3 linked regions of the Alligator mississippiensis genome follow. The protein of the gene in region 1 purifies or fractionates together with the protein of each later gene. This does not show direct contact. Links are inferred from orthologs where the notes say so. Each region holds a gene or a part of one and is shown on either strand. Other genes may lie near its edges.

What was found. The genes of interacting proteins can lie anywhere in the genome.
Region 2: the proteins of XIAP (region 1) and SIVA1 purify together in Homo sapiens (affinity purification with western blotting; 3 studies listed by BioGRID). This does not show direct contact. The link is inferred for Alligator mississippiensis from reciprocal best matches to the Homo sapiens genes XIAP and SIVA1.
Region 3: the proteins of XIAP (region 1) and XAF1 purify together in Homo sapiens (affinity purification with western blotting; 5 studies listed by BioGRID). This does not show direct contact. The link is inferred for Alligator mississippiensis from reciprocal best matches to the Homo sapiens genes XIAP and XAF1.

The regions. Positions count from the first base shown.
Region 1 is NC_081831.1:71,243,143-71,252,065, reverse strand, and holds the start of XIAP (E3 ubiquitin-protein ligase XIAP), read left to right. Parts: upstream 1-5,480; 5' UTR 5,481-5,495; coding exon 5,496-5,521; intron 5,522-8,923.
Region 2 is NC_081825.1:288,974,482-288,982,619, forward strand, and holds SIVA1 (apoptosis regulatory protein Siva), read left to right. Parts: upstream 1-4,495; 5' UTR 4,496-4,531; coding exon 4,532-4,649; intron 4,650-4,768; coding exon 4,769-4,948; intron 4,949-6,061; coding exon 6,062-6,152; intron 6,153-6,578; coding exon 6,579-6,661; intron 6,662-7,034; coding exon 7,035-7,191; intron 7,192-7,496; coding exon 7,497-7,554; 3' UTR 7,555-7,744; downstream 7,745-8,138. UniProt on the Homo sapiens protein: Induces CD27-mediated apoptosis. Inhibits BCL2L1 isoform Bcl-x(L) anti-apoptotic activity. Inhibits activation of NF-kappa-B and promotes T-cell receptor-mediated apoptosis.
Region 3 is NC_081837.1:9,464,757-9,472,532, reverse strand, and holds the start of XAF1 (XIAP-associated factor 1), read right to left. Parts: upstream 3,644-7,776; 5' UTR 3,471-3,643; coding exon 3,274-3,470; intron 2,012-3,273; coding exon 1,876-2,011; intron 1,367-1,875; coding exon 1,310-1,366; intron 656-1,309; coding exon 460-655; intron 1-459. UniProt on the Homo sapiens protein: Seems to function as a negative regulator of members of the IAP (inhibitor of apoptosis protein) family. Inhibits anti-caspase activity of BIRC4. Induces cleavage and inactivation of BIRC4 independent of caspase activation.

The DNA.
Region 1 (8,923 bases):
CTTGCCTCTCTGTCCATGTGTTATCCGATTCTCCACCTACACACAACTAAGCACACCTGCTGTCCTAAACAATTCCCAGCCAAAGACCCTTTACCCACAGCATATGAATTCTTCAACAGCTTTCCATATGTTTTTGTTTTGAGCCTAAATATGTTCCTTGCAGTAAGCTTAAATAAATTGCAGTGGGTAAAAAAGTGCCTAAGATCAATTATTCCCCTGATCTGGGGTGGAAGAAACAGATGGACTTCCAACCTGGCATGTGATAGCTACTGTGATGTGCCAAGTCTCTCTTGTGCTACAAAACTCTCCACTCTTATACACTCGCTTCTCTCACAACCCAGAATATAACAGGTAAAAGTCGGTGCTGTCTTCATGGTGTTGTATGGCAGAGGTTCCTAACTAGCTGCCAAGTCATGGCACGAGCCCCCCACTTGGACCTCCGGCTGCCAGCCCAGGTGAGCAGTTTCCGCTGCCAGCAGTCATGTGCTGGGCAGTGGGGCAGCCCCAGGTGGGAGGCAGCTGGCTCCATGTGCCCTGTCCCACTCCTGTGACAGTCCACAGTATAAAAAAGATTGGGAACCACTGCTGTATGGCATGCTGAATAGCCAGTGCTCCACTGAGGAAGCATTTTGCCCACTATATACGTAGACTCATATGTAGAATGGAGTAGGTATTGCCTCATGTGGATTAAAAGTTCTTTAATTTGGGATACAGAGAAACTTCCATTCAGGGACAAAACGCAAATACAGGACAAATGCTTGGCAGCAAACTAACCTAAGGACAAATGGAACAGCCCTCTAATCAATAAAAGGCAATAACATAGAGATAATAGGTTTTCTGCAAAAAAGAGAAAGAACGTGTTAACATAAGTCTGGAAAAAACAGTGCAAATTTATACATAGGCCAGTGGGGTAAATTCTGTTTTTGATTATATGCAGGTAATTCAATTGATTTTCATAAGAACTGAACACAATCAATTTTAAATTAAAGGATGGGTCCAGCCAAGTATCATCTTTTTTCTACACCTAGACAAATGTTGGGACATAGTTTCACATTTCCTAGCACAATCTTTTGCAATCTAATTACTTGCTATAGCTAATCTACCAATATTGTACCAGTCCATCTGCAAAGGGAAGTATTTTCAAGTGACATGATTGTTTTTACTGCTAAGTAACCAGAGAGACCATTAATCTTGGTCCAGTGAACTACTCACTGCTTCCCTGTTCTGTTTCAAACTCTGAAATAGAAGTGGGCCAAGCTGTTTGGGAATCAGAGTCAGCCTGACTGCTCTCACCACAGATGTAGTGCTTTTTTTTTGCTTTCTAAAAAATATTTTAATCCCTGTAGTCACACTTGTTAGAAATGAAGGCACTGTATTGTACAATACCCAAACTTTGGGAACTGAATCTTGATTTTGTCATGTAGGGCTCACCAACCTGTGGCACAAATGGGCAGCTGGGATGAGAGGCCAGCCCGAGAAGGACTGGTAGAGCCTGATGGGGAAGAAAATCCACCTGGGATCCTTATAGCCACTGCGTTTGAGTGGGTACAGACCCAAAATCCACTGGTAGGGAAGCAGAGGTCACAGAGGATCCTTGAGAGCGTGAGAGGACATAGCCTGAAGTACTGGGGTAAATGGCCGGGTGCTGTCACAGGGCACTAAGGTGCCTGCTCCTCTAAGACCAGAAACTGCTTGGGGAGAGAGCCCAAAGAGCCAGCCAGAAGCCCACAGGTGTAGGTTACCATGGCAACAGGCTAACGAGCAAATTAGCCTGCACCTGCACCTGGTCAGCTGACTGGAAGAGGCAGGGCCCTGGGCTCATATAAACCCCAGGGCTGAGACCAGAGAGTCAGTTCTTTGCCAGTAGTCAAGGGGGAAGGAGCTCTTCTAGAAAAAGTTAAGGGAAGAGGCCTGACTGTCTTTTTGCTTCTGGTAAGATTAAGGGACTTTGGGAGCTCACCAGATACCCTGGCCTACAAGGCCTGTAGTGCTGGGGAAGAGTGGTTCTTTTCAAGGGACAGAGCACACCCTGAGCTGCTTGAATTATGTTATAGCCCAGGGGCTTGTATTTTGATTTCTGTTTGTAAGGCCAGTAGACTGGGCTGAGGCTATTGGGGAAGGAGGAGGTCTCATTGGGGACCCACTACAGTGTGGGGACCCCAGCGCCAGTGTGGGCGCAGTATCTGGGGTGCATGGATCCTAGCACCGAGGGGTGTGGAGAGAAGGAGACAAGGCTGCGGAGAGCCCAGTGCTGACCAGACGCCAAGTGAAACTAAGGCCTTGGAGGGACACTGTGTGAATGCCATCTGTGAGGCTTGGGGCATGGTAAAGGGATGGTTTGGAGCCATGCATGTAGCCCATGAAGCTGAGGGTGTCCTGAGACATCCCTTTTGGAGCGGGACCCAAAAAGCGTCCAAGAACCCACCGGGTTCAGTAGGGTCCATCGAGACCATGTCCAAACAAATTTGAGGGCAGCTTCCCTATTTCATAAAGTTACATGAAGATGTGGCAGGCAAGAAAAGGTGCCCATTGGGCAGGATTGGCATGGTCAGGGAGCCATAGGGGTATCACGGCCATCCCTGGTGACCCCATCCCGTGACAGGTGTCAGCAGGCCTAGGATCCCAGCTTGCCTGGGGAACACCCACAAAGGGAAAGCCAGAGGAGGCCAAGTGAAGTCTGCCTTGCTGAACACAGAGCACTGGAGTGTTAGGTGCAGGCACCAACAATGCCCTGCCTGCCTGCACCATGTGTGCACTTTTAGTTTCATTATTAAGTTGTGCGTTTGTCGGCCAAGAAGGCCTCACCACGCTCCCACAGGGGACCGTGTAGGCAGCTGTGCCAGGAGAATGGGCAATGCCAGCGACCCATCCCAGACATCGCCAAGACCAGAGTGGACCACCTGAGTGGAAAGGGGTGAGGTGTCGGGGTGGTGGAGCCCAACAGAAGACCTACTGGCTGAGCCACCAGGGGCCAGAGGAAAGCACTGAGCAGCACCTGCAACTAATCTCAAACAACATTAAGTTGTGGCAGGAAAATAGGCCTTGGGGCAGTGCTCAGGTGGGCAGGGCATGCCAGTGGTGGCACTGCAAGCATGAGCCTGCCATGGTCATCCAGCAGTCATGAGGCCCCTTTTCTCTTATGGTGCCAAAAAGCAGTACAACTTACAACAGTTAGCATACATATAGCCTAGCACAACCAGAACTCCCACATTATATGTAACTGTGTATGTATACACATACAGGTACTCGTATATCTACACCCCCATAGATGGATAGCTATAGCTATATATAGATTAAAAAAAAAAAAAGTGTGTGTGTATCTAATGGGAACATATATACCAAGTAATATATACATGCATATCCATATACAGGTTTCCCTTGCTTTATGCTGTACATGTGTTCCTGGAAAATGGCACAAAACTCAAATTCGCATAAAGGGATCCCACTTTACAATGTAACAAATAGGGTACGTTCCAAGACCTTGAGTGTACTGACCTCCAGACCCATTTCTACCACTTTTGCAAGACAATTTTGGTACTCACCAACAGCAGATAGTACACACAAGCACAGGGCACTATCATAATGGGGATGGCAGCTGCAGAAACACGTGTTGCGGGCAACGAGCGAGAAGCACAGAGCAACACAAGAGACTATATTTTGGCATCCGCCACTCCCACAACGCAAAAAGCAGCTGACTGCGGGCTTCCACTGCACTGATTGCTGATATAAGAGTGAATTTACCTTGCATGTAACACATTTTTGGTATAAAAAAGGTCATCGCATGAGAGTGAGTTTGCATATACAGAACCCGCATAAAAGTGAGGAAAACCTGTACAGGTACCTGTACACGCACATTTACACACAAACATATGTCACTATATAGTAACTGTATATGGAGGTTTCTCTGTGTCCTGAGTTAAAGAACTATATAGTTACTGTAACCATATAGATAGATCGATAGCTTTATGTGTATATATATCTTTATCTATCTATCTATCTATCTATCTATCTATATGGTTACAGTATCTCTTTATATCTCTATATCTATCTATCTATAGATAGATAGATATAGAGATATAAAGCTATCTATCCTATACTTACATAGGTATAGATATATAGGTATACGTGTATAGATAGATCTATCTATATAGTGGTCTAGGTATAGATAGATCTATAAATAGATAGTGACATGTTTGTGTGTGTGTATATGTGCATATGGATGTGGTATGTGTGTGTATATAGGTATGTATCTATTACACCTACACACATCACACACATGCGTATCCATAGACAGATATACGCGCACACACACGCACAAATCCATACACACGCGCACGCACGCGCACACCCGTGTGTAAGGAGAGGCGCGGGGCCGGCAGGGGGCGCTGCGCGCTCGCCTACGAGGAGGGCGGAGGGGCTGGGCGCCGCCATCTTCTCGGCGGCCGCGCCGGAGCCGGTGCTGGTGCTGGTGCTGGTGCTGCGGGCGGTAAGTGCGGCGGGGCAGCGTGAGGGGAGCGGCCCCGGCCCGGCCCGGCCGGCTGCTCCGGGGGGAGGGTCGCGGGTCGCGGGCGGCCTCTCCAGCCGTGTCGTGCCGCCGGCGGGTGCCGGGTCCCCCGCGCTGGGGGTGGGGTGCGGGTGCGGGTGCGGGGCCCTTCCGGGGCGGCAGCCCGGCCTCCCCCGCCCGGGGCCGGTGCTGCGGGCTCCGCCGGGGCCGGGCTGCGAGAGGCCGGGGCTGGTTTGCCGGCTCCCCGGGGGCACGGCACTGGTGTGGGCCGGGCCCCCGCGGCCCTGTCAAAGACGAGACTTTCGCAGAAGCGTGTCTCGCGTGGGAAAGCTCCTCCAACTTTCATCGCCACCGCCCCTTGTCCCCATCGAAGACGGCCCCTCGGGTCGCCCTCGCCTCTCCCGGCCACGCCGCCAGTCTCTTCCCGGTGAGGATTACTCGAGAAGAGCTGAATTAGGGATTTCCTCGTCCAAAATAAGGTTTTCTTTCTTTCTTTCCCACCCCGCAAATGTTTCCAGCGTGCCCTGCCGCCTCCTGCGCAAAGAAATCACTTTCCACATTTGTTCGGGTCTCCTGTGATCTCGAAGGCCTGATGCGAGAGAGACGATACTGCTTTCATTTGAGACTCGCACTCCGGTTCGGGGATGTACGTGGTAGCCGCGTTGGTTTGAGACCCAAAGAAAGGCAAAAATCGAGAACTCTTGGTGCCCTAAAATGATCTTTGCGCATCCTCTGAAGTGCGCAGACGCACGCACGCCGTCACGCAGATTCCCGTTCCTCTCTCGCCGTTCCCCTTCTTCGCCCATCGTTAATTAGAAACCATCTCCTGTTGGTTTGCCAGCGCTGAGAAACTCCTTTGCAAGGTCCTGTTGCTCGTGCGGTTGTGCGCTGGATCGGTCTCTTCTCTGATCTTCCTCCCTACGTATTTAATAATGTGATTTTTATGTTGTTTATTTATTTATTTTTTATTCAGTGGTGGTCTGTCGTGCTGATGCTTTGTGGTGGATGCATTGCAAGGTAGTTTTCAACTGTTTGCATGCAACTCGGTCTTTAAAGGACATTCACATTTCATCGTGGGTATGATTTCGGTGATATACAGCATCCTAGAACTGCTAAACATCATTTTTACTAGAAGTGCTGATGTTCGTTCCCTAAAAAGGCAGGCGTGTTCAGATGTGTTAGCTGTCCTTTTGGTGGGTCTTTATTTTTCTTGTCTGTTTTGTTTTTATTGGGGGGAGGGGGAGTCTGACATGTGAGACATCTTGCACAAGGGGCTGCTTCTACCTCGCCGCCGTCATACAAGATGCAGACCCTGTGGCGCAGAGCGGATGTCTAATCCCAGCCGTGGTGCTTCAGCAGGTCACAATATTTATTGTAATGCCTTGAACACAACAGGGCTGTTGACTTCATGCAGGAAGCGGTGCTCCTGCGGGGGTCCAAATTTGGCCAAGTTCACCTATTGTGAGAAAAACCAAACGTGTTATGAAGATCAACCACATCAGAGAGATGCCTTCCTGCTTCCTTAAGCCTATCATGATTGATGTCGATACAAAACTGTCTTTTGGGGTTTTCTCTAAAGTGATGGGACCTGGTTAGCTTTCTCTGTTTCTCTTCCTTGTTTGCTGGGTGCTCGTGCTTGTCTTGGCCTGTCTTGTTTGTATGAGCTTGCTAAACTAAGCTCATTTTGCATTTTTTAAGTGTCCTGCTTTCTTCCTTACCTACCTATGCTTGTGGATGTAACCTTGTTTGGTGTTGTGCAAGGATCGTGCAACCGTTCACGTGCTAGAAGCTATATACATGGCATGGGAGCCAAGCTGATGAAAAGAGCCGCAGGCCAGAACTGGTTCAGGAAGTTCTGCACATCTTTCCTTGGCTTCCGTAAGCAAAGGTGGGAGAAATTTTCTCTGTGGCAGAAAGAACGGTCATTAGTGCGCTCCAAAACCAGGTCCATCGCAAGTACTGTGAGGCTAATGTGGTATCTCATTGATGTCAGAAAGCATAAAAATGGGCGTTATTTAAAAGGGCTCTTTACCAGCGTGCAATTTTTTCCTGTTGGGTGGCTTGGAAAGCTCTTTCAGTAGAGTTCATGGGTAATTCTGGTAACATTAGATGCTAAAAGTGCTGTTTTTCTATTTATTGATAGCACATCCGTGGTGGATGAGAGTAGGACAAAGTAATGGGATGAGTAAACAAGAATGGATGAGAGTTTAGGTCAGCTGAGGAAGAAATAAAACAGAGATTTTTTTTTTTTTTCCTCTAAAAATGTTACCTTTATCTCTCAGAAGCGTTGCCTCTGAGATGCACTGGTAGGAAGGTAAAAGGAAAACTGAATCATCTGAACTGCCTTCTGGTTCTTCCCCTTACTTCACTTTCTACCCCCCCCTAAAAAAAGTGGACAATGACTTTTCCTCTTTGAAATCATGGCTGGAAAAATCCTTCATTTGATTTACTGATAGGGTAGAAGAAACATTCCTTAGAGAATTCTGGTCATCCATTAATTTCTGTAGAATTTAACATCACTTAAAAGAAATCAGGGCTGCTTGCAGACATTGTGGGGGGAAAAACCTAGTGCTTTACTTTAAACTTGGTGCATTCCTGTGCCAAGCCCTGTGTAAACCCAGAGGAGGTGGACCTGGCTTGCCTGAGGTCTGTAAAAATTGGGTGGTTTAGTGGGGCTTTTTTGGTGCTTTTATCTAATAGCTGATTGAATCTGTTAGCAAAAAATGCCCCACTGAAGTGCCTGACCTATATAGGTGCTACAGAGCTGGTTTGAAGCAATATGCTGCTGCTTCTAGTGAGGAGTGGGTTTTTTTTTTTGTTTTTTACTTGTTTTTTAAATACCTGCAAGTTTCTAAGTCTTTAGGGTTGTGAGAGAGAATTTGTGAGCTGATGTCATGTCATTTCCCTCAATTTAGAGACAGCTTAACAAAACACTGCAGTGTAAAGACTGTTGGCGACCTACATCCTAGCAGCGTAGTGATGTGGTCAAGAATGCCTTTGGGGCTAGGAAAGACATTTGCCACATGATTTTTTTTTTTACTTTACATTAAAACTCATACCAAGGTGCAGGATTTTTGGTCCCAAGACGGTGACCACGGCGCAGGGCACCTGTCATGTGGCAGGGTTACCCTTGTGGCCCTCAACAGCTCACTAAAACTCATTAAGCAGCCCTCCAGCCAAAATAGTTGCCTGCTAGGCTTGTGCAAAATTTCACTGTTTTGTTCCGAAGCTGTTTCGACACATTTCAAGCTCGAAACAGCAAAATCAAAATGAAACAAAGCATCAAAACAGCTTTGAAATGAAATGAGGGCACTTGAAACATTTCGAAGTGTGTTGAACCAGCCCGGTGGTGAGAGGCAGGGGAGAGCCAGGGCTGCACTCCAAGCGGCTCTGCAGCCCCATGTAGCTCAGCCCAGCGCGGAGCGCAGCCCTGGCTCTCCCCACCTCCTGCCACGGGCTAGACCCTGTGGGGCCCACGGAGCTGATCGGAGTGCAGTGCCAGCTCTGTCCACCTCCCGCTGCCGGGCTGCGCTCCAAGCAGTTCCATGGCCCCATGGAGCTCAGCCCGGGGCAGGAGGCAGGCAGAGCTGGGGCTGCACTCTGCCTCCCACCACCAGGCTGAGCTCCATGGGGCTGCGGAGCCATTCAGAGCTCAGCCCAGCGGCAGAAAGTGGGCAGAGCTGGGGCTGCACTCCACCTCCTGCCACCAGGCTGAGCTCTATGGAGCCTGCCGCTGGGCATGGACTGCTCCCAGCGCTGGTCCCAGGTGGCAGCAGCAGCCTCCTATCATCCAGCACAGATCCAGGGGCCTGCACCCCCAGGAGGAGTCCAGCACAGCCCCACAGCTGGCAAATTTTGCTTTCAAAACTTTGAGGTGCAGTTTCCGAGAAACCTCTGCACCCATCTCTTTGAAACTTGGCAGGCTTCATGCCCTCAGAAGGGGCTAGCATCCCTGCAATTTGCATCTAAATCAGGCAAGAAAGACAACACTTTAGGCATTTTCATGATTCCCATTATAGCCTATGGGCAAAATATTGAAACCATTTTGACAAAACGAAATGAGACAGTGCTTCAAAATGAAATGACAAAACAAAACACTGTGCCTTCAAAACGGAAGTCGAAACGAGATGGTGGTGTTTCGCACAGCCCTGTTGCCTACCCCTGCTCTAAATCCTCTTCTGTGAAGCACCATTTCTACTTTACTTTTTGCTGAGTAAGTTAGCCACCTGCTGCACAGCCGGTAAAAGTTGTAAGTGAGTTCTCATTGAAATCAGTGCTTGTTAAGGAAATGAGTTATTTTATCAGTATACCCTATGTCTGTTGGTCTGGCATCTCAAGAGGCTTCAGCTATCCTGATTTATTATACACCAAGCCTGCTTTCAATTATAGTACTAATAGCAAATTTTCTTTCAAATTAAC
Region 2 (8,138 bases), on another chromosome or scaffold:
CTGTACAAAACAGCAAAGCAGAGGGAGCAGAGCAGCACTCACCCCAGCTCCAGCAGCCCCGGGAGCAGCCGGCACCAGCAGCCTGCAGCCGCTGGGCTGCACCATGCTTCACCTGTCGCCTTGCACCTGGGCTCCGCTTGTCCCCATTCACCTCTGCTCCTGAGCTGCATTGTGCCCTGATGCAGGCAGCTGGTGTTGGTTGCTCCTGGGGCCACTCCAGCCCATGCTGGAGTGAGTGTGGACAAGCGGAGCCCCAGGCAGTGCGGGGCACAGCACTCACCCCAGCCCGTGCTGGAGCAGCCCCAGGAGCAGCCAACTCCAGCTGCCTGCACCAGGGCACGGCGCAACCTAGGAGCAGAGGTGAGTGAGGACAGGCGGAGGAGCATGGTGCAGCCCAGTGGCTGCAGACAGCTGGCACCAGGTGCTCCCGGGACTACTGCAGCTGGGACTGGGGTGAGTGGGGCCACGGCCCTTTCCCACTCCTCCCTCACAGACTTACCTGCTTGGGCGGCGGGGTGTCTATGCTGATCACATAAGTGCAAATTTACCTTGAATATAATGAATTATGGGTCTAAATATGCTCATTGCATGAGTGAATTTGCATATAAAGAACCCGCATAGATTGAGGGAAACCTGTACTCACAAACTGGGATGTTTGAAGTCTGCATCAGGAGATGTATGGTTTGTGCCTGAATTTGCAAATTAATAATTTATTAATAATAATAATAATTAATAATGTAATAATTTAATAATTATTAATTTGCCAATTAGAAATTGAAAACACTGAAGAAAAAAATAAAATTCAGTTTTTGCTTTGTTTGGAGAGTAAGAAAGCTTTTCACCAGCCATTTGTTCATGTTAAATGTTTCTTGGAAGAAGAGTACAACTAAGATGGTCGGATTCTCCTTTCTTACTGGGTTTTCTTTCACAATCGCATTTTCAAAGAAAAACGAAAATGTTCACATTCTCATTTACTACTGGTAGGTTAGATTTTTCCCGAAGCATAATAGCATAATACAGGGCATATCTACACATGCATTTAAGCACAAATAAATTTAATGAGCATTAAGCTAAGATGCATTAAGGAATTTTTTTACGTGTATCTACATATGCAGGGACTGGGCACTAAAGCTAGTGCCCAGTCCCTGCAGCCCTGTCTTGTGCCCCTAGTGGCTGGGCAGACCCAGCACTAAAGTTAGTGTTGGGTCACGTCTACACATGTATTAATGCGCTTTAACTAGTCACACCTATATTTGATACCTGCATTTGCAGGTATCAAATTTGTGTGATTAGCCTAATTTCACCATTTTAATGCACATTAAGGGCATACATGTGTAGACACATGATCATAACGTGCATTAACTTAAGCTAACAGAGGCTAAATTAGGCTAACAGAGTCTCATCAGCAGAAATTGTCAGCATTACATTTCATGAATGTTAGATGCTGGCAAGCTCAGCCAGATCAGAACAGTCTTCCTTTATATTTCCAAATCACCAATGGATCTCCCTCAAGGCTTATTTCTGTGAGATTAATAAACACTACTGGACTGTTCTACTGGGTAAAGAGTAAAAAAAACTAGCAGATGAGCCAGCTTTTTCCTTATAGGATACCAAATCATGTTGATGCACATGAGACAGAATTATTTTGCCTTTCCACTAACAAAAAAAAAAAGCCCAAGCAGCAGCAGATGTTGTTAAGGATTAGGCTTGTGAAGCAATTAAGGAAGAGATGTTGCCACCTGAGGCAGACTCTAATGGCTGCAACAGAAGACTTCTGAGTTTGCCCTGCAGTGAGGTGATGGCAGCATGTTGCAAAAGTAATCATAACAGAACATCTTGACAGTGTCATGTGTCAGCCCTCAGGGAAACTGCCCTCCTTTTTACCCTTAAATGAAAGATCCAGCAGTGCAGTTATAGTACACGCCGACCCCTTTTAAACCTATTTCTTCTTCTCAGATAAAGTTTTAGAGTGTTATTCTTCACAAGCAAAAGAGCACTCTCAACTTTGTCTTCAAATTTTTTCTTGAAATCATATATAGTATCTAATTTGTAAAGACTTAGCTCAAGTTCACCCTTGCTAGTCACCTGGTCACCTTCATAAAGCACAGAGATGTTCTGATAGAAATGCTCAAAACTGCAAGGTGCTGAACACAGTCCATCTACCTAGGATTTCACGGGTTTGTGCTACCATTAGGCACTTAACCACTGGCAGGCCTGAGACCTTTTTCTGCCTTTTCAGGTCATTTAATTGAGATCCTATTCCACCTTGCTTGGGCTCCTTAAAAACCATTAGTACTGATATACATTTTATCACGTGCCTTCATCCAAGATGTAGGATGACATGGCATAAAGCAGGGCAACCCACATACAGGCAGTCCTCGACTTACAACATTTCGAGTTACAACGTTTCGCACTTACAACGGTTATAAATTGACACCCTGTTTCAACTTTATGACGTCAGTTTCGTTTTTTCAATGGTTGATCTGATACGCCACGCCAGCAAACAAGTCGGCTGCGCTGCTCATCTCCCTGGAGAACATCTGTCCAAACTTCCTTAGACACTTTGTTTAAGAAAGGAGACAAGACTCCAGAAAAACCTACAGCCTAGACTCCTGAGAAGACTCCAGCCAAGAACCCTTCAACAAGTCCAACCAAGAGCCCTTCAAAAAGTCCAGCAAAGTCACCTCAAAGTCCTTCCAAATCAATGAGATTGCTATTTACAATATAAATACATTAATGTATACTATTCATCTATAATTGATCGAGTACAAAATTCTGGGGTATTTTTGCTGAAAACAGAATCTGGCCTTGGTTCAGGAACCAATCCCCCATTTATAACATTGTTTCTTATGAGAAAATCGGTTCCAAGTTACAATGTTTCGACTTAAAATGCGTTTTTCAGGAACCCATTGTGTCGTAAATCCAAGGACTACCTGTATATTTGTGTTCAGTTTTGCAAGCTGGGTGGAATACAACTGCACATAGATGCCAAAGTGCCACAGCTGCCTAATTAGGTGGCAAGGGAGTGCATGAGGTGCTCCAGGGTGAACGTGGGAGCCATAGACACAGCCTCTGCATTGCTGGGACCTTAAATGCTGGAGGCAGCAAACGGGAGAGGAACAGGGGAAACCCCCCTGCTCAGTCCCTGCTCACTGTCCCCTTCCAGCATCTGCCCTCTGCTATGGCAGGGCCCTGCTAGGCCTTCGAATGAAAGCTGGACGTAGGGTTGCCAGCTCTGTTTAAATCTATTCTGGGAGATTTCATTACATGACATAATGACTTTGCACCAGAAGGCAAGTACACATTACTATTACATTTAAAAAACCCACTGGACTACTATATAAATTGGATTCGACATTTCATGTTTATTTTAATGGATGGCCTATCATTTATCTCCCAGGTGACTTTCAGCAGTATCCCAGAGCTTTATATCTAATTCCTGGAGGCTCCCAGGCAATCCTGGAGGGCTGGTAACCCTAGCCGGACGGAAACCAGCGCCAGACTGGTGCTGGTGATCACTACACATCTTCAAGCACTAACTTAATGGCAGCTTGGCTCTCTGTACGGCTGGAGAGCCACTTTTATGGCACAAGGACTACGTTGCACATGTAGCCAGCCTGCATTTATGGCCCCAAGAACGCAATCAGTAGCAGCCTCAGGGGAGGGCAAACTGGGCAACCACCCAGCACCCCACACTTTGTAAAAATTAATTCCACTGAATATTTGTATTATCCATATCGCATTGGGATATTTGTAATTAATAAAAGATAATATCTGTATTATCCATATCTGTAATTAATATTTGCATTATCCATACTGTCATGGAGTTATTTGTAATTAATATATTTGTATTGTCCATATCGAATTGAGTTATTTGTAATTAATATATTTGTATTGTCCATATTGTATTTATTTGTAATTAATATATTTGTATTGTCCATATTGTATTTATTTGTAATTAATACAAGATAATATTTGTATTATCCATACCATATTGAGATATTTGTAATCAGTATAATATGTGTATTATCCATCTCGTATTTATTTGTAACAGAAGATAATATTTGTATTATCCATATCGTATTGAGATACCTGTAATTAATATTTGTATTATCCATAGTGCATTGAGATATTTGTAATTAATAGAAGATATTTGTATCATCTGTATCGTATTGAGATATTTGTCATTAACACAAGATCACATTTGTGTTACCCATACCGTATTCTCCACACTGTAATCACTGTCACTGCAGGGCGGGGTGACATTGAAATCGAAAATCATCATCAAAATGAGGGCGCTCAGGGCCCCGGGCGAGCACCGCACCGCACCGCACCGCACCGCAGCCGCCCGCTCCAGCGGGCCGGGCTCCGCCCACGACTCCTGAGGGGAAAGCTCCGCCCCCAAGCTCCAACCCCGCCCTGTCCGCGCCAGGGCGGCCCCACAGCTTCCGTAGGCGGCTAGGCCCCGCCCCCCGCGCGGATTGGCCGGCGGAGCGGTGACGTAGCGCGGGGCGGTGCGCGCGCGGCAGCGATGCCGAAGCGCCGCTGCCCCTTCGCGGAGGCGGCCGCGCCGCAGCGCAAGACGCGCGTGGGGCTGCGCGAGATGAGCCGCGGGGTCGCGGGCGACACGTACCGGCGCCAGGTCTACGGTGAGGCCCGGGGTCGGGGCCGGGGGGGAGGTCCGCGCGTGCCGCCCGCCCGCCCGCCTGGCCCCGCTCACCGTGCCTGTGTGTGTGTGTGTGTGTCCCTCCCCGCCCCCTCCCCGCAGAGCGGACGCGGCAGCTGCTGTTCCGCGGCGCCCAGGCCTGCCCCGAGCGCGCCGCCCGCCCGGACCCGCCGCCGCCGCCGCACCCGGCTCTGCTGGACCCGACGGGCGAGCCCGAGAGCGCGGGACAGATGCTGCTGGGCCCCGACGGGAGGCTGCTGCGCCGCCCGGCCCGCGACCGCGGTGAGTGACCCGGACCCGGAGCCGCGCTCCTGCGAGAGGCGGGACCCGGCATCCCGCCTCCCCCCTGGGCGTGGGGCTGCCTTGGAGGGAGCCCCATCAATAACATGGCGGAGAAAGAAGTGGGGCTGGGCGGGAGCTGAGGCAGGGACCTGGGTTTTCCGGAAAACCTTAAATTGGAAATTTTCCTAAGTAGAGCCGGATCTGATTTAGCACCTTTATTTGCTTTGCGTTTAATAAACAAAGCTAAAACAGGACCCCCCCCATGTTAATTTTATGCCTGGATAGCCACAAGTATTTGAACTCAGAGATTTGATTAGGGGGGGAAAATTAAAAACAGCACAGTTAATGTAGGTTTTGTTTGTGTTTGAATATGTATGTGCGTGTGTATTCAAACAGGTGTTAATGCTTATGTGGAAAGAAGTTATTATTTTTATTGGAATAGTTATAAAGCCAGTACACAACAGCATGTACATCCTGTATATTGTTTTTTTCCCCCTTTAATTTAAACAAAGGCGCTGAAAACTGCTGACACGCTTACGAGGTGTCAGCGCTTTGTGATGGTTTCAAGCTTGTTTTTAGAATCATAAAATTATGAGGGGAAAAATGCAGCTGTATCAGGTCGAGACGATCTACTCGTATGTGATGTGCAAGTGCCTGGCTGAGATGTTCAGGGCAGGTGTATAGTTTTTACGTCTTTAAAACTCCTTGAAACATAGAAACTATAGTTACGTTGGTACGCTGCTTCTGACACTAGTTCTAGCACACCCGCAGAACTGTGCACGACGTGCCGTGCTTTGGCTTTGATTTAACTTGCACAGCCAATTAGGTGAATTCATAACTTTGATTTTTGGTTTGGATGATTCAGAGTGTGTGTTCACCCTCCCGTTTACAAATTGGTAAAACATATATGTGCTCTCTCCCACACTTCCTAGGGATAATCACCTAAAAAACATTAATTGCATCTTTGAAACTGCCAAGCTTGCATAATCTTGTTTTGGCATCCATTGATTGTTACTAATGAATTTTATGAAACGATGAATTTTTAGAAATGGAAAATTTCCCCTGGAAAAATAAAGCACCGGAAAATTTTCCACCCCACATTTCTGTCCCCAGCCAAACCACCCTGTACCAATCCATCATCAAATCTTCATAAACCTTCTGTCAGCCCTGATGCGACACAGATCAAACAGCTTGGCCTGCACAGGTAAAGTGGGGGAGCTGCAGCAGCCAACATCCTGCTCCTGTGAAATGTTATCAATAGACGCTTAAGAGGTCCCAGGTAGGGCCATGTCCCTGCTGCAAAGGGAGGCAAAATTCCCTCTGAGAGCCCTCCCTGTCCTGCCCCTGGGGTGGTGTCTGTGCAGGGCTTCACTGGCCAGCACCAAGCTGATGCTGTCAGAGAGGCCACACAGCTCTTATTTTTAGGTGGAACTTGATGGGTTTGACGTCAAGTTTTGCCCTGTCAGAATTAGCAGTTAGGATGGGGGCCAGGGCTGCTGTGCAGGGCTGCTGGGGGCTGGCGCTGCTGCCATCCTCTGCTTCACAACTAGGATTCCCTATTGCTCTGCACCATGTGGGTGCCCCAAGCTGCAAGCTACCACACACTGCACCATGTCACCCTGTGCCCTAGGCGTGAAGCAGAAGCCAGAAGAGAAGAAAGCCTGGAGATGCTGCTGCTGCTGCAGCTGGAGCATCAGAGGGCAGAGCAACCAGGTGGGACTATGGAGGCTGCAAATTAATAACTTCTTATGGGTTGCATGCTGCCCCCAGGCTGCCAGTTGGACAGCCCTGAGTTAGGATTAGCTGGTGAAATTGGGATACCAAACGGATAAGTAGACTGGGTGTTGCTGCCACAAAATAGTTTGTCTTTCTTCATTTAATCTTAAAAACATGGGATGCATCTAGTGCCTGGAATGGTAGATGTTAGCTATCACATTTTCAGTTTTGTGCTTACTTAACTATAATAATATTGACTGCAGGTAAATAGGTTCCTATGGATTTTGGAGGGCTCTAGATGTTATTTGTTCAAATTTTCTGTTCTGGCGTTAATAATAATAATAAAGTATTGTTTTTGTCTCCCAAATAGCCCCACCCATGGGAGTTTCCAAAGCCTGCTCCTCGTGCATACGGACCGTAGACATCAAAGAAGTTTGCACGCAGTGTGATCACTTGATATGTCAGCATTGCAGCAAACTCTGCAGTTGCTGTAACACTGTCATTTGTTCCATGTGTTGCACCATCGAGTAAGTGCTTCGTGATGGTTTCAAGCTTGCTTTTAGAATCATAATTTTATAAGGGGGAAAAATGCAGCTGCATCAGATTGAGACAGTCTGCTCGTATATGATGTGTAAGTGCCTGACTGAGATGTTCAGGGCAGCACCCTCCCCCCCACTCCCAGAGCATGTGTATAAATGCCTGATGGGAGCCTGGTAATTTCTGTGGGGTTCTCTTGCTTTCAGTAGCTGTTGAAGAGAGAAGGGAATCCTTTTCTTTTTAAATACTGTACAAGAAATAGGGGATGCTCAGCTGACTTCTTTTTTTCTTCTAGTTACAGTGATGTTGGTGATCAAGTTCTCTGCAGTGGTTGCTCAATGTTTGAAGTCTAAATTTTAATGATCTGCCAGTACCTCTTTGCGACTAAGATGTCTCTATAAATTCTATGAAGAATCATCTTTTTATAGCTGAATAACTAGCACTTCTAGTGGATGGAGTTAACAATGAGGTTGATGTGTATTGTATGTTTATATTGTATTTTTATACCATAGCTAAATAAACTTTTTTTATATTTTGATGAGACTTTTGAAGTATTGCCTTGGTTATTTTAGCTAAACTACAGTTAACCTCAAAGGCCGTTTTAGGCTTCCTTGTCCCAGACCAGTGATTCTCAACCAGGTGCCATGAGATCCTGCCATGCTAATTCCCCAGCTCCTACAAGGAGGTAAGCATAGTAAGAGACATTAATCGTATGAATTGAGTGGCTTCCAATTTATGAGAGTTATGGAGAGAAGCCTCAGGTCCAAGGAGGCTGAGAACCATTGCTCTGGACTGACATGCTTTTTGAGAGGCAATGATTTTTTTTTCCAGTACTGCAACAAATGCAGACTACACATCCAGTGCTTCGAATTCTTATCATGTGTTGCTCATGTTGGGAGTACAGGTTTCTATTCTGAACTGTAAACCAGTGTATTTG
Region 3 (7,776 bases), on another chromosome or scaffold:
GGTCAAGATGAGCAATAATCCTTTGTGATACTAATTGCAGGGCGCTTTCACATGTTCAAATGAAAGCTGGATAGATGCCAGCTATAAACTTGTTACACATTTTCAAGCACTAGCTTTGTAGCTGGTTGGCTCTTTTTTACAGCTGGATGGAGATTTTTATGGCATAATTACCCTGCACCTGTGGCTGCTCTTACTTTGCACAAGTGACCAGTCTAAATGTATTGTGCGATTAACCACAGTTAATTGTATAATATATGTAATGTGTGGCAGGGGCCACATTACACAAGGCAACCTGCATTACTGGGACTCGGAGAGTGTAGGTGGGGAATTTTCCATGTGATTAACGGATACTGTAGTAACGTGATGCTGTGGGTGATGACAAGGAATTTGGGCTACCTGCGCTTAGAAGAACCAAGGTTTCTAGAGGAGTCACATTATTAATTTGAGAGTGAATCTCACCATGATTTGAGAGCCCATCACCACTACGACAGATGTCTTTGTGCTGGTCCAGGTCCTTGTACATGATGTATTTGTTACAGCCGAAACACTTCTCAGTTCGACTACCGCAGGAATCGAGGTGCTCCTGCAGCTTAGCAGAGGGCATTTCTAGCTCGCAGAACTTGCATTTCATAACTCGTTCGCTGCATTCCATGGTCTGCAAGTGAACAGTCGCAAGTGTTACACCAGGAGTGGAAACCCCCCCCCACACAACAGGCCTAACTTGGTTTTAAGAATGTCCTCCACTAAGACCGTGTCTACATACCAAAACGCAGGTGTGTGGTGCAGGTAGGCATAGTGTATTAGGTTTATATTTAGTGAACGCAGGTAAAACTAGAAGTGAAGAAGCAGTGGCCTTGGCCTGGGCTAGCAACCAAGAGTACAAGCCCACCAGAAACCTAGAGGATGCACTTTGGCTACTACACAACCTGAAGCCAGTGATGCCATATGGTCGTTGGTGGTGTTACAGTAGCTAGATAAAAGCTGCCACAGGTATGCCTACAGTCGCACTTCATGTGAAGGTGAACTCCACAGAAGCGATGAAGTGAAAGGTCCTCTCTAAGAAACTCCCTGCAGAAATGGGGTGGGAAGAGGTGTGGAGGGACAGTCTGATGACCAGGGCATACATTTGTTTTAATATAAAAAGATGGATTACATTAAACCCTGGGTCAAATGGCACTATATTAAGATTGCTGACTCTGGGTTGTTCCATGTTGGGGAAGGCACTAATTTGCAGACATCTCTTTGTGGTGTCTCTAAGAGAGATCAGCCAGGTTGGATTCTGGTCTCGCGCACAGAGCAATGGACTCACCTCATGGTTCTCCAGCTGGTATTGCTGCAGGCTTTGGTGACAAAGCTTACACCTGACCTGAATGAAAAGGGTGACAGAATAGTAGCATACTTAAAGGAAAATACCTGACAGCTTATAGAGAATATTTCAAGTTATCTAATGAACCTGCTACCTCTGTAGGTGAAATCGTCCAAGATGGACTCCCTGCTATTTCCATCTTTGGAAAGCAAATAGGGAACCTTGTTCCTATAGGAACTGAGCAATGTGTAGGATTTTCCTGTTCGGGCAGGAGTTAATCATGCTACCAGCTGATTATTCCCTGTGTTTATTGGAGATTAACTTAAATACAAAAGAGCAGGTTCTCTGACGGAGTCCCTTGACTTGAGCGCACAGTTGCCCTTTGGGGAGAAGGGGGCTGTGGACAGAGCTATAGTGTTGCATCGGGCCCTGACCCATCTTCTCCTCAACAAATACAGATGCTCGTGGCTGTTCGCCATGCAGCAGCACAGCCCGGCATGATTTCCGTGCATCTCCTAACTGCAGGAACTGACAGTCCGAGTCCTTGTTGGAAGGTGAAGAGCTCTCACTTGCTTGTGTGCATTTGCCTGATGCTCTCGCATTTCCTTTTGAACAACAGCCTCTTTGCAGTCTGGGCAGACAGTGAGGAACCGTCGGCAGTGGATCTCGTGCAGAGAGAAATTGGCAGCAGACACATCTTGTTTACTGTGTGACACGGAAAGGGAAAGAATATTATGGGATTGGATACGATTCACCTGGCCGATCCCAGAAAACTGACATCAGGTATTTTATACTTGTGTCTTGTTCAAATGAAGCCTTCCAAGACTCAGCTCTGTTATGGAGGCTTTACTCTTTTGCTGAGGACATCTTTAAGGGAACAGGGGCCCCGTCAGGTGATGTGGGTCCAAAATGAGAGAGTGCTTTTACATCAGTGCAAATCAGGAATAACTCCAACAGAGTTACACTGGTGGGAAAGCAGGATTGTGCCCTATGATCAGAGGGGACCAGCAACATCTGGATTCGCAGCGTTCCAGAGATAACGCAGACAGTATTCAGTGGCTCCAGGGCTGGAGGTCTATAGTAGAGGCTGGGTGCTAGTTTCTTTAAGCTATTGCTTTGTGAAGGGACCCCAGATATTAAAGGGAGAACAGAGGGACGGACAATTTGCTCCCCACAATAGTGACCTTTTTGGCTTATAGCTGGAGAGCTAAGTTGCCTTGACACCAGAAAGAACCATTGGACATAAGGGGAAACTGAGCCAGGGACCGAGTTCGTACTGGGTTGTGTTCCAGACTGCAGGAAAACACCCACAGCTTCATCACTGATGGGAATAACAGACTGCATGTAGCCCAGGGGTGGGCAATTATTTCGGGCGGAGGGCTGCTTACTGAGTTTTGGCAAGCCATCGAGGGCCGCATGACAGGCAGCCAGGGCAGATAAATATAAATTTTTTAAACTTTTTAGAGGCCCTGCAGGCTGGATAGAGTGGCCTGGCGGGCCGCATCTGGCCCGCGTTTTGCTGACCCCGATGCAGCCCCCGCCTTTTTAGGGCACACCTCCCCGGTGGGCAGGTTAGTCCATAATTATGGAGCTCTCTTTCCCCTCTTTGAAGCCGCTTGTCCTGGGTGCTGGACACGCAGCACTGCTGACCCAAGCTGCCCCTCTCTGCCGAATCTTTTAGGTCCTAAGCAGCAGGGCAAGGGACACAGCAGGCAGCAGAGAAGCACTGCTTGATCTTGCCTGGGGGATCTAGCCGTCAGTCAGGGAAAAGAAATTGTCTTCAAAATCCTTAGATGTTAAAGGGCAACACAAAGCAATCAGCTGTTCCGATTTGTTTCCTTGGCCTCCCCTTGGCTTTCTCTGTTCAGGGAGAGAAGCGTGCAATACCCACCCCGAAAAGGAGATCAGCAAAGCCCCTGTGCCCCTCGGGTATCACTGGCACTTGGCAAAAAGTAGGGATTTCTTACCAGTTTGGGCAGAACTTGCTCTCGTCTTCCATGGCTGCTCTCGGGCTCTGCCCCTCTTTCTTTTTCACTTCTTTAATCTGACAAGAGAAAAATGAAACTGAAACTGCCAGTCCCAATAACCAACCCCAGACAAGGGCTCGGCCAATTTTTTTTTCTCCATGCAAAGCAGGAGAGTGGGAACCAACAGGGAGCGGCATTGTCCAGTTACTGTCTCGGCTCCTTCCCACAACAGCTTCAATCAAGAAACGTAGCGTCCAGATGACCCGGGGAGGTGGAAGATAGTTTTGCCCTACTCTTTCCTCTGGCTCAAATGAGTTTGAATATGCTTTGTCTAGCAGGCAGGACTCTTTTCTGTAGCTGCTTGAGGCTGTTAGGGGACGAGGGATATTTCACCTGCTTGGTTTTAATAACAAAGCTGCCTCTAGGCAATTTATGAACTGTCAAATGTTGGATCTGGCCCTTTCCTCTCCTTCCTTTCTATTGCCATAGATTTTCTTCCCTCCTTAGCTGATCATGATTGCTTCCTGAAGACACAAATGAGCAGGTAAAGCCTTAAACAGACGCCTCCATGCGAGGCAGAGTGCCTTCCTGGGAGACCACAAGAGGGAGTTCGAAATCCCTCCATCTCCCTTTCATTTCTGTCTCCCTGAGCTCTGCTAGGCAAACTTTGTAGGATCCCTGTTGCAGGACGTGGAATAAATCTTTCGGCTCGTTCGGTCTGTGCCCCAGGCAGACGCAGCATCTAGTCCCCTAGGACATAGTTTCTCAACCTGTGGTACGTGTACCACTGGGAGTATGTGAGACACAGGCAGGGGGTATGTGGGTACCCCGACACAATCTCTCTTGCCCTCTTTTCCTCTCTCTCTCACCCTTAAATCTATGGCAAAAAAATTGGTGCAATTAAAAAAAAATAAATTCCCCAGTAATAATTTTGTGTTCAGCCCTCCTAGCTTTGGCCAACATCACCTCTAGCCCAAGTCCATACTTGAGTTGTGCAACCCTGGTGTAAAAGTTGGCAACCCTACCCACACCAGATCAGACTTCTGTCATATCATGGCCTTATATACACAGCCCTTCTTCCCACATATGGCACACATTAGTTGGAAGAAGTCCAACTAATGTCCATTATAAAATCCCCATGTTGGGGTACTTATTGAAATTTTCAGAAGTTAGGGGGTACTTGCTACTTAAAAGGTTGAGAAACACTGCCCTAGGAGAGGCAGCATCTAGATTTGATATGATGTGAACGTCTACGGTATTACTTCGGCTCTGGGTAAAGAAATAAGAAAGAAAGTAAGATGACCAAAAAGAAAAAGCTCTGCGTCTAGGGTGTTTTAGAGGGAGCTTAGCCCTCATAGTAAACCTTAATGACCTTTTCCTTACAAAAGCTCAGCCAGTTTCTTTCCATTCATAAGGTTTTGACCTCACGAATAGGACCTAGGGTGGGAGTCCAGAACAGAAGGGGAGATGAGGCTGAATTGGAAACAGATTTGCTGAAGAAAGAGAGAGAGAAAGAGAAAGCATCATTCAAAACTAAAAAAAAAAAAATGGATCGGTTAACCTGCCCCGAGTTACTTTGGCCCTGAATCGCGCAGAGCAGGCCTTGGTCTTCTGACTCGCAGGGAAGGTTACCTATAGCTCCTGGGCCTGGGAAAAACTACCTCCTCCTTAGACATCTCCCATGGCGTCTGCCTCCCCAAGCAAGAGCCTCAGTTGTTTTTACAGCTGACTTGTCTGTGACCATGTGACAGAGGCCATTGTTCACTCAGCCAATCAGAAAAAGGCATACAGCCTAATTTCCAAGACAAGTTTCCCATTGACATTTGGGCACTGTATCACCCCACTGGAAACGGAGGCACGACGAGCGCGCTGCCGGGGGTCCCCCATCGAGGCTGAAGTCGAGCGTGGGATAGGATAGATCGGAGCTGCAGATCGGTGCCGTGCCCTAACAGCAACGCTGCCTTGCCATAGAGCCAGACCCTGAATCTCACTTCCAGCTCACCAAAATCACACTGGGGTTTGGGTTCTCTAGTAACCCTCAGCCCCTTTCAAGTGATCTGAGTTGTGAACAAGACCCAACGTTTAACGTGGAGGCATCGAAACGCCTCTTTGCCCTACCCTAGGACCGGTGATGGCCAGGGCGAGAGGGGGCCGCTTCTGCTTGCAGATGTCCCTAGTTTGAAAGGAGGAGGGGATGGCAAGGTAAATTGTTGACAGTGGAAATCATCGCTTAGCCTTGGCCCAGCACAGTTTGTGCCTTGACATTTCTGGCAAACGACATATTCCCTTTTTTTCCTGGAGGAGCAGGCTGACTGGGCTGTGGCTCTGTTCTGGGAGCAGGAATACACGCGTGGGGTAGGATGTGCCTTTTTGACCATGGATCCAATAAAATTTGGATGAATAATAAAGGACTTTTAAGCTGTAAGTTTTCTGGGGGTAGGGACAAGGGGTAAGTGATGGGATAGTAATGGCATTCCTGCCTATTGCATTCCTCTCCCATTTCTCTCCTGCTATGGTTATCTTCAGGACACTGTAGGGAATCAAAGGCTTGAAAAGCCCATATTGGTGAATGAGAAAGCAAGATCCCCTCAGCGCTGATAATGGAAACAAATTAGTACTTATATTAAGGTACCATTTATACACGGTGTATAAAGAGCACATTGACACGGGTTATAAGCTTGTGACGGACAGGATGCGTCATCGATGGCTATAACCACAGCACAAGACGGCAACACAGATGATTTTAAACGACTTATTGATTTGTTGAATTCTACAACTGTTGATTTAATAACTGAATACTTCTTTGTAAGCTCTGTATGAATAGACCGAACTCTAATGTGAAATATGTATGAAAGCATTCTGTCCACTGAAAGGACCGTATTTAGTATTTAGTGTTTGGTTTAGCAACCATGATCTGCTAGTTGTTTTCTAGACATAAAAGATGTGATGGCCTCTGCTCTGAGGGACTCCCGTCCTAAGGATGGACAGGCAGACTGCTAGACAAGCCAGGGGAATGGCTTGTCTATGCAATAATTGCAATAATCTGGAGTTCTGCTCTTGTCTTTGTGCAGCCTTGTGGTTATTGTTTCATTGCAAATGACTCTTTTGACATGAATATATCAGACATCCCTTTTCTAATTAATGGCAACAGTCTCTTTCCTGCAGAGACTTTCACTTCTCCCTTGCTTGACTAGCTGAATCGAAGCCAGGGGGCCGGTATGTGCTTAGTGCTTCTGAAAACTAGGTTCACTTTTCACTGGTATAAAAAGCCCCACTTTCTCAGTGATGAGGAATGGAGAAAGACCCAGAAGAAGGTGCAGGGTAATGAGGAATCGGGTCCCTAGTGTCTCAGGTTGGATGCCCCAAACTAGTGGGCATTTTGGAAATGTAAGCCTTGACCTTTCCCTCTGTAAAATGGGGATGATACTATTCGTTCCCTCGGGTGCTAGAAGACATCGTGTATTTTAATGTTTGTGGGATCCCTCCTCATGCTACACAGGACACAAGTACAAAACACTCTCCTTACCAAATCAGACTTCAAATCTCTCTGGTTAATTTTCTGCCCGTCCAAATGCCTTCTTCTCTTTGTCCTTCCTATCCCCTTCCAAATAACAAGAAGAAACGAGTAACCGATTGTCCAGACTTGGAAATAATTAGTGTTTGTTTGCATTTTGCAACACAAATTATGTAACAAGGCAGAGAAAAGGCTTTTGAAAAAATATGTAAATGAGATGGCAGTCATCAAGAAGGAATGGGTCGCAGGCAGGCAGACAGTCTATTGCCAATTACCAATCAAATACTTCTTTTCCCCCCGGTCTTTCTGCTGTACAGTATTTGAAATTCCCTGGGGCTTCAATTAAACTGTACTGGAAGTACCACCCTGGGGCTCAAAAGTCTGATCAGCATGGCACCGTGACAGAGGAAACCCCCATTGACTTGAGGTTCATAATGAGAGCTTTTGTATAGCCAGTTGTTGGGCACAGGGATTGTACCAAAAGAACTTGAAGTTAAGAGGCTCAAAAGCTCTACTTGGAAAAATATCAGATGCTGCATTGGGGACCTTGCTGAAGGATACTCCTAAAGGAACACAGTGGACTGGCAGAGGCTGTAAAATGTTCTCAGTAAGGAGAAACAACAAGGTAAGGAACAAGTGATGTCCCGTGAACTCTAGTAATCATTCTTTTACTTTTAAGCCTTGTGTAAACCTCCTAGTGCATAACATAATGGTTTCAGATCTGTTTTAGGTGACCGATCAAGTCAAGCATCACAAAGGTAAGTTCTGAACGGGTTGTTTTTTAAATGTAAATCTCACGCGACGGGATAGTATGTTCCTTTTCTGCCAAAACCTAGGAAGTTTCAGGGACGGCCTTTTTTTTTCTTTTTCATTGTCAAGTATCAGAGATTTTGCAGTCCTTTGTTATTTCCATTGTTTCTGTACCTCCAAATGCTGCACTAGTGCTGCTGCAACATTTTAATTGCTTTAAAACAAATTGAAGCACAAGT